Linked DNA regions of Diceros bicornis minor. The protein of the gene in region 1 interacts with the protein of each later gene in a biochemical or structural test. Links are inferred from orthologs where the notes say so. Each region holds a gene or a part of one and is shown in the gene's direction. Other genes may lie near its edges.

Region 1 (7,410 bases):
TTTGAATTCGAGCTCACCACTGGCTGTGTGGACTCGCATGTGTCCCCTAACTTTATTGAGTCTGTTTCTTTACCTATACAATGGGCATAATGTATAATTCACATAATTGTTATAAAGGTCAAATGAAGTAATCAATATGAAAAAGACTTGGCATGTTATAGAAAACCAATGTTAGTTGACTTTGAAAGCTTGGACTATCCTGAAAGATAATAGGCTAGGTTGGTTCTCTAATGAAAGAATTGTTACGCATATTACAGTATACTAAAAAGTAGAAATAAGAAATTTATGTTAATATAATATTACATCATTTATTTCTCACACTAACCAGTTATACAAGATAAGTACTATTATTATGCCCATCTAACTCATGACAAAATGAGGCACAAAGAGACTAAATAATCTGTTTGGTCACACAGTAAGCAGTAGAACTGGGATTATGAACCAAGATAATTTGACATCAGTGCTCACGTTCTTAAATACTAAACTATGCAACTGTAATTGAAAAGATTATTTGTCCTGTTAGAAGTCATCATCTTAGGTCCTTCCTAAAGGAATATCACTGTAGAAAGTCACAATAACAATTTTAAAAAATAGAGCATAAAGTAAAGGATAACCAAGTTTAAAAACTGAGTGAATAGGTTTTAAAAAAAACAATGTTAGTGTTAGTTAGAGGTTGGTTTAGATTATATCTAAATTAATATTCAATATTGCAATATTAAGGATCATTTACTTCATTATGCAATTCATATTTTCTGCCTCAAAACCTACTCATTTTAAGAAAAATGGTCGTTTAGTACTGATACCCAGCAAAACAATGACTTGGGTTATCTAGAAATCCTAAATAAAATTCCAATAAAAAAGAGGTAAATACATGATTAAAAACAACTGATGTGTTCCATCAAATTCTTTAAAGTGTTTTACCGTGAGTTAAATCTATAAAGACTAGTAATATACTAGCTTGATGAATACATTATGTAGAGAAAAGATCATGACTACTTATAGACACTAAATGAAAACCAATTATTCCAGGCTTATACATAATAGTTACCATGATACTATGCTGGGCCATTAGTTATGTATTTACCAGATAACTTGATCTAGTAGAATAGAATTTCAATACTATCTCCCATTTCATATATCTTTTTATTACCCTTTCTTTAAGCATAAGTATGAATACAGTAGTAAGGTAACAAATGTAATTTTTTGTGGATTAATAGAGAAATAAAGTATAAAATTTCTGCTCTGTATATTTCAGATTAGCAAAAACAAAACAACCACATACACACGTAAATAAAAATCTAATCATCAAATCTTTAACACGGTAGACTCTAATGGCAATATTAGGCAAACACACACGAATGTGCCATGCAACGAAGTGTATACAAAATGGAGAGAAATTAAGCTATAAAGAATAGGAGTATATGTAAGTATTGTAGAAGTACTAGGATGATAGACAAAAGTGGGGAGTTTTTTGATCAAGAGAAAAGTTAATAAAATGGAGGTTATCACTAAAAGAAGTTTTGAGAATATCACCGGCTTTCAGTCCTATAAGGGGACTGAAATCTCCTTAATTCTTTGCTCTGTTATCTAGCAGCATCATAAAAATAGCACATTTATGCTCTCTCCTCAAAGAAGATAACCAGATACTACTTCTAACCAACAGAAAATACCACTGAGATCAACTGTAATTACTTTGGATAGTTTAAGTAACAGTCTGCCTAAGTAGAAATCCATTCATCCGTTTATTTTTTTTTTAATTCCATCTACTTTAAACCTACTAGAGCTAAACTGACTGAAAAGCTTTCATTAATCACCTCTGATATCCAGGTAAACCAAAACATATGAACAGGCAATGGTTTTGAGTTCTCACACAGCCTCAACTATGTGTGAGTCAACTCAAGCCACCATTATGTACTCAACAATAGCGATGACCCAGCTCTAGGCATTGGCAACACTATCAGCAGGCAGGCACAAGCACCCTGCTTATATTGATCTTCTGGTGTTAACATTCTTAAGAAGTATGGCAAATAGGGATGATATGATGTCTTCCTCATGAGAACCTTATAGCAGCATTCTACTAGATTTCTTTTATCTGTACTGATTGTTGTATTAATAATCAGACTGTGCAGAATAACACTGTCTTGAGAAACGATAGCACACTATCTTAGCGGGAAAGGAAATGTAGGATGCCAATGTGGGGATAAATTTCTAATTGCCAGAGATTGTTGTGAATATAACAATATTTTCGTGAATATTAAAGCCTCTACTGAGGTTAGCTATAAACAAAAAAATTGTCTTGAAATTTTAAAATTGCCACGGTGTACATGATAACGTAAACAAAAGAAAAACTTAAAACATTGTTTAAAAAAATAGCAGGAGAAGCAACTGATCCTTAGGAAGGCACGAGGTTGCTTATTATAAAGCATTTACAGAGTCCGATGCATTTTCAAAGCTGGATACAATCATTACCACAGCACACCCTTGTGAGGTAAGTGTATTATCATCTGTGGTTCATAAATGAAAAAGCCGAGGCACTGAACGATTAAGTCACTCGCCTAAGGAGAATGAGTCAACGTCCAGAGTCATAGTTGACCAGGCCTAACGACTCCTGACGGTCAGCCCAAGGCTTAGTCAGCGGGACCCGGAGTGGCTTTCCTGGCTGTCACCTGGACCTAGGCTATTTCTGTTCACGTTAAAGCAGAATAGTGCAACCGAGAAGACAGACCTTCCAAATAATTGTTCCTTCCACTCAAGATTTAGCCCTGAGGTCTTACTCTCAGCATTTGGGACTGCAAAAGCTGTCGGGTGCACTCCCCCTCCCCCAGCCTGGGGCAAGTGGGCACGGTGGGCGGTTCTGCCACCCCCTTTCGCAGAGATGGCAACGAGTGACCACGACCGGTAGCGGAGCCGGGGACGGGGCAGGGTTGATTCCTTAAACAACGACTCTCCATCGCCGCCTCTTTTTGAAACTAAGGGAAAATGGTGGGAAGTCAAAAGAAAATTAAATAAACACACAACCTGTCCTAGGACCGCAACTAAACAAATGAAGCCTTATTGTGCGTACTGAGCCTTCCGGGGAAGATGGGAGGACAGGGCGACAAAGGGCACAATAGGCATGCCTGGCAGTAAGTGCGACAGCACCTACCCAGGTGGGAGAGCAGAGGACTGAAAACTACCCTCCAGCACGCGAGCGTCGCCGCGCCAAGAACCGCGCACCCTACCCATCGACCACGTGACCACGCCTTTTTTTTAAACTTCTTTGCCCTGAAGAGAAAAAAAAAAAAAAAAAAGAGAGACAGAGGGAGGGAGAAAAGAGACTCCACTTCCCAGAAGCCCCTGGTCATTCACGCAGCCGCAGTCTTGCGCAGGCGCCGCCAGGGCCAAACGGACACGTCCGTCACGTGGACAGTAGCCGGCCAATCCGGTTTGAATCTCATTTTTTTCTCTCACCCCCCCTCCAGGAGCGGTTGTGCGATCAGATCGATCTAAGATGGCGACTGTGGAACCGGTGAGTATTGCCTTTGGCCCCCACCCCCTCGGGTCCCCGCGCTCCGGCCCCCTTCGGACTAGGGGACCCCGCGGGACGGCGTTCCTGGCGCGCACGCTACCCCTTGCCGCCCCCTCCCCCTCTTCTTGGGCCTGACCTGCCCGCGGGCCCCGGGGGGCGCCCCGGAGGCTGGCGGCGCGGCGTGGAGCGCACACGTTCTGGTGGGGGCTGAGAGCTGGGGGAGAGGCGTGGGGGAGGGGCGGCGCCCCCTGCCGCGCCGCGGGTGTCGACCAGGGTGCAGGGAGACCGTGGCCCCGGGCTGGGTGTGTGGGGATTGTGCCTTCGGGACAGGAAGGCGCGGGGCCGGCCCCGAGCGGGCGCCGGGATCCGCAGGGAGGGTGGGTGGCGAGCCGGCCTGGAAGGAGATCGAGGAGGGAGCCCCGGGGCAGCCTATCCCTCCCTCCCTCCTGAGCTCCCGCCCGGGGGTTCGGGTGCGGGCGCGCGCGGGTCTTCACCGACCAGCGTGCCGGGGAGCCGGTGGGCGCGCGTGGCCGGAGGGTGGGTTGGGCGGGAGCGGCGCCGCGGCACGCGCGGAGAGCGTCGACCTCGCCGAGGGGCGCCGAGGGGCGAGCGCATGGTACTCCAGCGCCCGGGAGTGGCCGGGGCTGGCGGCCGGGGAGGCGAGGGCGGTTTGGGGTGGGGAGGAGAGCCGCGTGTCGCGCGGTAAAGCTTTCTGAGTAGGATGAAGGGTGGTGGTGGTGGTGGTGAGAAGGGGGATCACATTGTCCTCGCCCCTCCATGCTCGAGCCTGGGCTGTCATGGAGGAGGGAAGGGGAGGAGCGAGGCCTACTGAGCGCTGCCGCCGGTCTGGTTGCCGGCCGGACCTGCTGCGTTTCACACGAGCCTCTTCCATTCATTCATGCTTTCCGCGCAGTGCGCACGCCTCAGAGAAGCGAATGGGTCTACATCCAGCTGTTCTTCCGAGTCCTTGTCGTCTGGAAGACTTCTAAGGCGCGGTTTATTGGAATCAAGAACTTAACTTTTAAAATTAAGCTTCCCTTTGAATGTTTTCTCTTTATCTGTTCTACCCACTTTCCTCTCAATGTAGGCACCATCTTAAACTTGGTTGAAGCAAGCTGATCCCGGAGCAGAAAATTGGTAGTTAACCCCAAGGAGAGAGAGTATCTTGGTCATAGTTTGAGTTTGCCAGCATTAGCACTGACGCTGAAACTTCTAGGCCTATGTTGCCGTTTTAGGAATGTCACATCTGAGTGACATTGTTTTAGAGGCATAATGGGCTATGTTAATAACCAGAAAACCTTTGACACTCTGGAACCAGTTCTAGACCTTGGTTGCCAGATATTTTTGTGTATCTGTAGTGGTAGTTTGTGATTTTGATAATGGCTTACCAATTTGCTTTGACTTTTTTTTTTTTAATAACTGTTTCAAAAACTAGTCATGGAGAGGCCTACAGAATACAAAAAGGCTTCTTTTTCATTACATTAATGTGAACTATCCTTACCTTGTTGCCCGGATTTAAGGCAGTTTTTCTACTTGATTACTTGTTCTTTAATTGGTACCAGTTTTTATTTATGTTCCTAGAAATCAGGTTGACTGCAAAACTGTCTCAAGTAGTTGATACAATTAACTGACTTTAGAACATTAATGCTACATAGCTAAAGACGTAGGATAAATATGTAAACTTTTAATTTAAATCCCTTTTAGGGTGTTGTCCACTTCTGGCTGGATCTGCTCTGCTATTCACTTGTACCAGTGTCACTAAAAAGCATTACAGCTGGTAATAGGGGCAAGACTCATACCTCAAAACATAAAACAGTAATGTATTCTGTGAAGTTTCAGTAACATTTAGGTCCTTTGGATTTTGCAAAGTTATGCAGTTTTGTTTCAACAGCAGAGAACTACAAAGTGTTGAAGGATTAGTTTGAGTTAGTAAATATAGCCCCTGATATATTTAGGACGTTGAACCAAGCATTCTTTAGAAATACAAAGTTATACAAGATGTGATTCTATACCTTATTCAATGTAAACTGTTAAAGAGCTTAATTGCCAGTGATGTGGTCAGTGATACAGTATAGAATTTGTTCTAGTGCTGACCCAGAGATTTGGATACTGCATTTAGGTTTGGGGAGCAGGAAACTTAAAAACCTAAAGTGTGTGAAAATGGAAAGCCAGGTTAAACTGTAGTAGTTTGAGGATGTATGTAAAATAACATTGAAGTGTTCATTTTTAGTGAAAATGCACATTTTTAGTACTTTTAATGCACGCTTGTCCACAAGTTAGTAGTTTAGATTCTTTTTGACAATTTTAAATAGTGGGAATTTTTTTTTAAGCAGTTGATTAGTATTGGTTACAATTGAGGTATCCCTGCTGAAGCCTACAGAAAGCATATTTGTTCATTGCTGTTTCAGCTCGCTTGTGAGTTTCCTTATTGCTTTTCTGCTAGGCATAATCATAAGCACTTAAAGAGCCATGGGTTTTTCCTGCTTGTTCCACTTTTCATAAGCGTTTGGGGGAATTTTTATCTATGGAAGTTATATAAAACATCAGTCATTTTCAATTTGATATTATCGTGTGGGTTTTCTCAAGTGTATGTGTATGAGTTCAGTGACATTAAGATATGGCTTACAAATAGTAAATTTGTTGAGAAGTTTGACAGGGCAAATTAAAGGAAGCATTTTACCTCTTTACAGGTAATATGGCAAAATTTTGAACATTGGGATAAACGATACTCTCCTGTTACTGTCTTGGCATTTGAATTGTGGCTGAGTCAAAATTAGACTTAATATTAGTTGGTGAAGAGGGCAAGGCAGTTTCCCCAGGCGGTCTTGCCTCAGTGGGTCTTGTTTCTTTGTAGCTTTATCTTTATTCTACATTCTTCATTGTTGGGCTTTTTTTTTGACTTGTAGTTCTTTTCAAGGTAAGAGATTAATTTTGGTTTCTTTAGTTAAACTGAAGGTATATAATGTTACTTGTTTTCACATTGTATCTCTTGAATTTTTTTATAAATTAAAAATTAATTTCATAAGTGGAATCAACTTGGATGGTCAGCTGATCTAATGTTTCCTTTTTTATCCTTTAGAAACATGCTTTGTATTGCAGAGTTTATTTATTAAAAGTGAATAAGGCTTAAATACATATTGACAAATATGTTGTTATATAATTCAGTGTTTTTTGTTGACCAAAAATTGTTGATTAACAAGCAGATCTTGCAAGTTAATATGTGTGTTTTTGCTTTAATGAAAGAACCCAGTATATCAAACTTTGTTCATAAACCAAATAAATTCAGTTCTGGTATTTATATTCAAATTTCACTAAATTTTATGCTTTGAATTAATATTATGCATAATTATTTGACTTAGAGAAATTCAACTTAGAAACAGACACAGTTTACACACCGAAGTTCCAGAGAATAAAATGCAAAATGAATTATGTAAGCTTAAGCCAATTTGGATAGAAAATTTTAGGCAAAGAAATTTTTATAAAATATTCTGTTCAATTTATATCAAGTTAAGAATATAGTAAAAGTAACAATAGTCATGGATATAACAAGGAACCTGTGAAATAATTGCTCTAGCAATAGTAATTTCTACTTTCCCTTGCCTTCTAATATTGGAAATTTCCTTGCTCTTCTGGTACCTGTGAACTGCTCCATTTTTGTCATAGAGACATTTTTGAAATGTGGACATGAGCATGGCTTATATTCTAATTTTAATATCTGTGTCACCTTGAAGACTGAACTTTCTAAGTCTAGCTGAAAAAAGGAAATTAAGAAGATAGCTTACAGTGATTTTGATTTTCAAATGCAGTATTCAGAGATGACAGTTTGTCAGTTATGAAGAACTAGATAAAGTTAATCCTCCATGAATATATTGCACGCAGGTGTATCCATGCACACATATATT
Region 2 (7,205 bases), on another chromosome or scaffold:
ATCCTTTTATTCCTTCTTTCCCCTGCCATACTTCCTGCCTTCTAACCCAGCTCTTTTGTGAGTACCAGATGGGGATTTCCAGTTGTCACTGGCAATCTCTAGCTGTATAACTCATAAGCACTTGTAGTTCAACATGTCCAAAGACAAACTCATCCTTCCTCTAAAATCTAACACTCCTTGCATTTTCCCTTGCTAATGACTTCTATAGGTCAGCAAAGCTTGAAACTTGGAGAATCATTCTTGATGTCTCTTTGTTACTTTGTATATCTAATCAGTCACAAATTCCTGTTGATTGAACCTGTGAAATGTCTCATATCTGTCTTTTTTTATTCCTGCTGTGGATATCCTATTCCAGACCCCTTATTTTTCTCTCACATGCATTCATTTATTAATTCAACCAGTACTTATTTATTGCTTATTATGTGCCAGGCATAGTGGGAGACTATGTCGTACTATGTCACATTCATCAAAAGTTGAATAAGGTGTCTCTTCTCTCATGTTAAATAGAATACAATGATAATAGTTAACATTGAGCATGTATATAGCATGAGCAATGTGCTTATCTCATTTAGTTGTCATGACAGCTTTTGGAAGCAGGTGAAGAAACAGGCAGAGAGGTAAGGCATATGCAAACCATGATAATACAAGACAACATAGCTGGCTCAAATTTCTACCTTAAACATGGTAGAGGATATCAGTAAATATAGACATCCTCATATTAAGCAAAGTAATAAAAAAAAAGGAGACTCAAACAATGAACCATTTGTAAGTTAAACATAAGTTATAGTTTAGGGAAAGCTATTTTAAAACACTTGTAAAGAAATCTGAGAGCAGAATGGTAGATGCTTGTAGGTGTTTTCCGGTTGTCTTGGACACTGCTAATTTGACAGCATTGTTTTTTAGTAACTTGTTTTCGCTGAGTCTTTCCAAAGCATATGAAGTTTGCATGGGAATATCAATTCTCTTTTTAATTTTGTTAAAGTTTTTCTTTTGAGATAATTGTAGATTCTCATGCAGTTGTAAAAAATAATACAGATGGATCCTGTATACTCTTTATCCAATTTTTCTCAATGATACATCTTGCAAAACTGTAGTACAATGTCACAACCAAGATGTTGACGCTGATACAGTCAATATACAGAACGTTTCCATCACACAGGGATCCTTCATGTTGCCCTTTTATAGTCACACCCACTTCTCTGTCTTGTCCCCACCTCCACTTTAACCCCTCACAACCACTGATCCGTTCTTTCTATGATTTGTCAATTTAGGAATGTTATATAAGTATAATCAGATAGTATTTGACTTTTTTGGGATTGGCTTTTTTCACTTAGCATAATTCTCTGGAGATTTATCCAGGTTGTGTGTATCATTCCTTTTTATTGCTCAGTAGAAGTCCATGGTTATAGATGTGCCACAGTTTGTTTAACTGGTTTTCCACAGAGGCTGTACCATTTCACACTCCTACCAACAATATGTGAGTGATCCAGTTTCTCTGCATCCTTGCCAGCGTATTTGGTGGTGTCACTGTTTTTTACTTCTCTCCTTTTACATTATTGGAATGACTGCATCAAGTTTGTCCCTACTCCAAACCATCTTTAGTGCTACCAGAGTTCAGTTTTAGACATGTGCCTTAAAGGATTTGGGTACATCCAGGTAGAAATTTGGATACATCTAGTTTAAGGAAAGAGATCTTGGTTAGAAGCAGTTTTGTAAATTGTCCCTGTTGAGTTGATGGTTAAAGTTATATAGGTGGATGAAATTACTAAAGCAGAATGGATGGAGGAGAAAGAAAGGAGGGCTGAGGACAGAGTCCTGGGAAGCACCAGTGTTTAAGAATTGGCCGATCAAGTGAGTAATCAAAGGGTTAGGAATATATTCTTTAAGAGAAATAAGGAAAGAAATATTTTTTTAAAAGCATATAATACAGTGTCAGATATCTCTCTCTGATATCTGAGAACTGAAAATGTCTCTTGCATTTGGTATCTGAGGGATCAGTGTTGATTTTTGCGTGGCAATTTCAGTGGAGGAAATGAGGGCAGAAGCCTGGGGATAGCTGATTGAAGCATGAATAGGAAGTAAGGAAGTAAAGACAATGACCATTCTTTGGAATGAAAAAGAATGAACAATAATTAGAAAGCATTACTGAAGAAAGATAGTTTTTTAACTGGGGGGAAATGTTGTTAGGCCGAGGTTGAATCGAGGGAGAGAAAGAGGCTTAAAATATAGGACAAACTTTTACATATTGTCAACATGTAATAATACCTAAAATTTATTTTAATGAAAAAATACATAGAAGAGAGGAGAGAGATTTATGGAGCAAGGTCCCAGAGGAAATGGGAGAGGATTGGGTTCAGACTAGAGAGAAGGAGGTGAGGAGGGGTAAGCAGGGATTAATTTGTGTTTGAGCAAGTTGAGTCTGATGACTTTGCTCATCTCTGCAGGGCTCTGTGAGAAGGGGTAGGGAATTTGAGAAGAGTCTTGAGGGTTGGAACAATTGGTGAGAGAATGGAAGATGGTGCTGATCAAAGACAAGGAATGCAATTGTTGAGTTTTAGCAAAGCACACACCTTTTTATTGGTATCAGTTTGCACAGTGGGTCAAGGATAGACTTGAGAAGTTGAATTGGGTGTTTAATAGCAAAGAAGGATGTGTGGTCAGGAGTGGGGAGACTCAGGAGAATTGGAAAAGTGATTGAGTTGGAAAACAGGTGTAGAATTATTGAGGGAGAGAGATGGAAGAATAGATCCTAAGTTAAAAAGAAGATATTGGAGTTAAGATTTCAGAGGTCAAGGAGTTTTAGATTATCATGAGGTCCAAAAGAGTGGGTTAATGAAACTGTGTGGAGGTGAAAGACACTGTTTCAAAAGACTCTGAAGTGGTGCTAAGGACTTTGTTTTTTATCTTGATGTTGATGAGATGTCATCAAGGAAGGGACACGACAGTATTAACCTTTAAGAAACATAACTCTGATGGCAGTATGGAGAATGGATTAAAGATGGGCAAAACTGGAAGCAATCAGAGACATATTGTTAGGCATGTTTGCACCCAGTTGAGGGGCATTGTCCCGCTTACAGCCTCTGCAGAGGAAATAGCTTTCAGGAAGCCAAGTTTTCTGCCACATATTTTCTACTCTCTTGATTGAACAAATCTATCTTATCTGCTCCTGGAAAGATCACATCCCCTCAGATGTATTTTGCTCACAGTCATCTTCTTTGCTAAATGTAATGAGGACTCTTTCTGGGTTAGCCTCAGGAAAAACTAGCTCCTTAATATTTTTATGCCATTGAAATTGTGGGGCCAGATATGGCCACAGTGGGTGGAAACCGTATAACCCTTCTTGCTTTTCACTACTTTTCTGAGAAGGTCCAGAAGTTTTTCGGAAACCCTCAGGCATATAGCTAGTTTTTATGATCTATTTCCACAGTTACTCTGTAAATAAATTTTATCTGTTTAAATTAGTCTCTTCTATCAGATTGTAAGTTCCTTCAAGATAACCTGCATCGAATTCATCTTGTTATAATGTGGTACCCAAATATCTCAGTACTCTGGTTCAAAAATAGATGTTTAACAAATGTTCAGTCAATGAATGAAATGATGGCTCCCACAGACCCAGGGGACCGCGTCCTTCTGTGGGCCAGATAATCTCAAGGTCCCAACAAGTCTGCCCTGGAACAGGCTCAGTTGTGATGCCCAGTCAGTGCTCAGACTAACAAAAAGTGCCACTCCCTCCATAGATGCTTAATTTGGAAGCAGCTGTAAAGAGACCACTAGCCAGCTCGTTTCTCCCACTGGGAAGCGGCGGGAGGCTATTTTCCGTACGGCAGCATGGCGGCCGCCTGCCGGAGCTAGTGAGTTCAGTCTCCCTCCGGGGAAGAAGCTGCCCACTTTCCGTACGACAGCATGGCGGCCGCCTGTGGGGGCGGCCATAGCATCACGCCCGGGGGAAGAGGCCGCCGTAAAGGAAGAGCCGCTTCCTCTTCTCACTTCTCCCGCCTCCCACCGGCTGTCGTAAAAGGGTGAATGGAGAGCGAGTTGTGGGGGGTAGAAAGGGAGGACAGGGGGCGCGGAGTCAGAGTGGCGCAGCAAGTGGCTGCAGGTGGCGACGGTGGCGGGGGGTGGGGCGTGAGGTAGTCCAGGGGTCGCGGAGGAGGAGGCTGAGAGGGTCAGAAGAAAACTAAAGCTGCAGTCTGGCCTACTGGTCCGGGGGCCGCGGAGCCCCCACCCGGGGAGATGGACCTCAACCGGATCATCCAGGCGCTGAAGGGCACCATCGACCCCAAGCTGCGGATCGCCGCTGAGAACGAGCTCAACCAGGTGAGGAGCGGGCCTGCGGCGCCCCCCTGCCGCCGGAGCGGCGCCTCTCGCCGGCTAGCCGAGCTCTCCCTCCTCGGCGCCCCCCTCTCCACCCCGCGGGGCTCCGGACCCTGACGCTTCCCTCGGCCTGTCCCGCCCCCCGGCCCGGCTCCAGTTTAGCGGCGCTCCCCGGATCTTTTCTGAACAGCTCGCGCACCTGTTGGCCACCTTTGCATCTTGTTGTGTCGGTTTCCTTCCCCAGTGCAGTTTATTCAGCCCGCCTGGTCCGCAGAAAGAAGCTTTAGCAAGCTTTGCTTGTGTTTTCAGGGTGTAATTTCTTTTCCTTCAGTACGCTGACTTGGGGACGAGGGTGGGAAAATTCACTTAAAATTCAAATCTGAGTTCAGCTTTTCTCCGGACCCAACCCTTTTTAGGTGTTGCTGTGGGTAACCCTGCCCATCGCCTGCTTCTGTGGGGTTGGCAGGATTGTTTTGACACTGATTGGCAGAATTTTGTTGGAGCGCTGGGAAATGCTGTCGGGAAATGCTCTAGGAAGAATAGGCAATTTTCATGGTGGTGCTGCTTTACAAAAGACACGTCGAGTAATGTTTGTTTGGAGGGATTTCTTATAAACGCTAAAATGTGTAAGACTTTCTTTTATCCTCCATCCTCTATTCCTACTAACTAGCCTTGACCTAATTCCAGCCTTACCACCATATTTCAAAATTTTAATGATCCCAAACTCTACCTTATTTTCTCCTCCTCACCTGTAAGAATGAATTATAGACCTTTCACTAAAAAGTACAAATTAAAGTCTACCCCCAGGATAGAGTGACAGCTGTTTGAGGTTGCAGTAATCCTTAAAATGTAAAGGAATATACCTAAATTAGTGGTTCTCAAAGTGTTGCCCAGGATGAGCAGCATCAACATCACCTAGGAACTTGTTGGACGTGCAGATTATCCCCATAGACTTTAAGTCACTCTAGACTTAAAGAATCAGAAACGCAGTGAGTGGAGCCCAATCACGTTTTAATTAGCTAGCTAGGTGATCTTGTGCTTCCTAAAGTGTGAGAACAACTGTCCTAAGTGAATGTTTCTGTAGGACTTCACTAAGGTTTTCCCTGGTTGGAGTTGACGTTAAAGTCCAGATATGTGTTGTGAATCTTTGAAAGGGATTATTTTAATGGGAAATCTGGGTGGAGTTTGGAGTAAGTGTGAATCCAGGATTCCCAAGAGATAAAAGGGAGAGTGGAGACACTGACTCCGGAGAGAAGGTTGAGTTGCGCAGAAGCCCAAAGGGAATGTATTGGTGCCTCGGAAAGAGGACTGTCACTCAGAAGAGGGGGAAGTTAGTGTCAGTACCTGTCTTGGGCTTTGCAGAGTAGATGTACTATTTGTGGATTAGCTAGGAGAATAGTAATCCAGGGATTGGTTAGGGGAACAAAGCAAGAGCTGAATTTGCAATCTGCTAGTGTGAACAGGAGAGTTGGCCTGTTTGTGACCCCTTTCGCCTCACAATGAGGCCAGCTGTTATCACTATTACTTTGATAGTGTGAATAGGGATCATATCTTTGATCCCATGTTGTGCTTTCCTGCCTCTGTTAGCCTGCCTGTGCTTTGTTTCTGATGCATTAGTATATAAGTGCAGTCGACTTTAGAGAAGTGGAAAAGATAGGTGGGAAAGCCTGCAGAACTAGAAGACACATTTAGGACCCAATTCTTTTTATCTTCATGATATTTCGATCCAAATCCATTCCATCCTCACTCTGCCCTGCTCCATGTCTACGTAACTTATCATAGACCGCAGTTTCCTCTGCAACTTCTCAAAGTAGCTTATTCCTATGCCACTCATTTAACATTTATATTTTATATAATGCTTTGGATTATAATATGCTTTCATTAAATATTTTTTGAATTGTCTGTAAGTAGAAGACTAACATATACTGTCGCATAACCTTATAGTAAAACATGGTTATAAGGTGGGGTTTTGTATGCTTATCCTTTACTACCACTGTAACATCCTACTTTGTTGGATAAACAGGTGGGTAATCTACCCTAAGTGATTGGAGTCCAGCTCATTTATTTTAGTCTAGGTCCCCCTTCAGCAAATATGCTCTGCATAGGAAATGGGGGCAGCTCCTACAGTGTACTGATTGATTTGTCAATTGCCATTTAGAAGAGTAGGCAACTTGAAAACATAACAGCCTGTGTTCCAAAGGCTAAATTCTTATTTGGAGCTATTTTTTTTGTGTGTAGCCAACATATTTCTGTTACCAGCGACTGGTTCCTTGACTGTATTCGTGATATTGTTTCTCTGGGAAAATGCATTTTCAGTTTTATCTCAGGATATTAAGAATGCATCCTGTACATATCTCTCACTGTCTCTAAACCCAGAAGTCCCTTTAGCAGCAGCATAGGGAAGTAGGAATGAGTAGATATCTTGCTCCAGTAACTCATCCAGAAAGGTGTCATCTTTTAATAAATCATTCTCTATGTGGCCTCAATAGGGAAATAAAAATATGTACCTTCATTGCCAAGCTTTGCAATCCCTGCTTTTCTGTGCATCTGTAGGCGTCCTTTTTATTGCCTTTTAAGAGAGTTTGCTTATATGCATAACATATATTTATCGAGTTCTAGCAGGCACTAGTCCAAGACTCTGCTCTCATAGAGCTTGCATTCTGGTGGGGATATAGACAAGTAAATAATATAGTTTCAGGTCGTAAGTGCTACAGAGAGTAAAGCCCTGGAGAGACTGTGTTGGGATGTATAAATAAGGCAGTCATTCTCTGAAGAATGACACTGAGTAGAGACCTAAGTGTTGTGAAGGAGTGAACCGGGTGAAGAGCTGGGAGAGGAATGGAGGGAACAGCAAGTTCAGTCAAGGCCCTCAACCTGGCCTTTTGGAAGAC

Evidence for each region. The genes of interacting proteins can lie anywhere in the genome.
Region 2: the proteins of EIF4E (region 1) and IPO8 form a complex in vitro, tested with the Homo sapiens proteins (2 studies listed by BioGRID and IntAct, with this or other methods). The link is inferred for Diceros bicornis minor from reciprocal best matches to the Homo sapiens genes EIF4E and IPO8.

The regions. Positions count from the first base shown.
Region 1 is NC_080747.1:81,778,311-81,785,720, reverse strand, and holds the start of EIF4E (eukaryotic translation initiation factor 4E), read left to right. Parts: upstream 1-4,270; 5' UTR 4,271-4,285; coding exon 4,286-4,498; intron 4,499-7,410. UniProt on the Homo sapiens protein: Acts in the cytoplasm to initiate and regulate protein synthesis and is required in the nucleus for export of a subset of mRNAs from the nucleus to the cytoplasm which promotes processes such as RNA capping, processing and splicing.
Region 2 is NC_080756.1:32,522,851-32,530,055, forward strand, and holds the start of IPO8 (importin-8), read left to right. Parts: upstream 1-4,120; 5' UTR 4,121-4,233; coding exon 4,234-4,317; intron 4,318-7,205. UniProt on the Homo sapiens protein: Involved in nuclear protein import, either by acting as autonomous nuclear transport receptor or as an adapter-like protein in association with the importin-beta subunit KPNB1.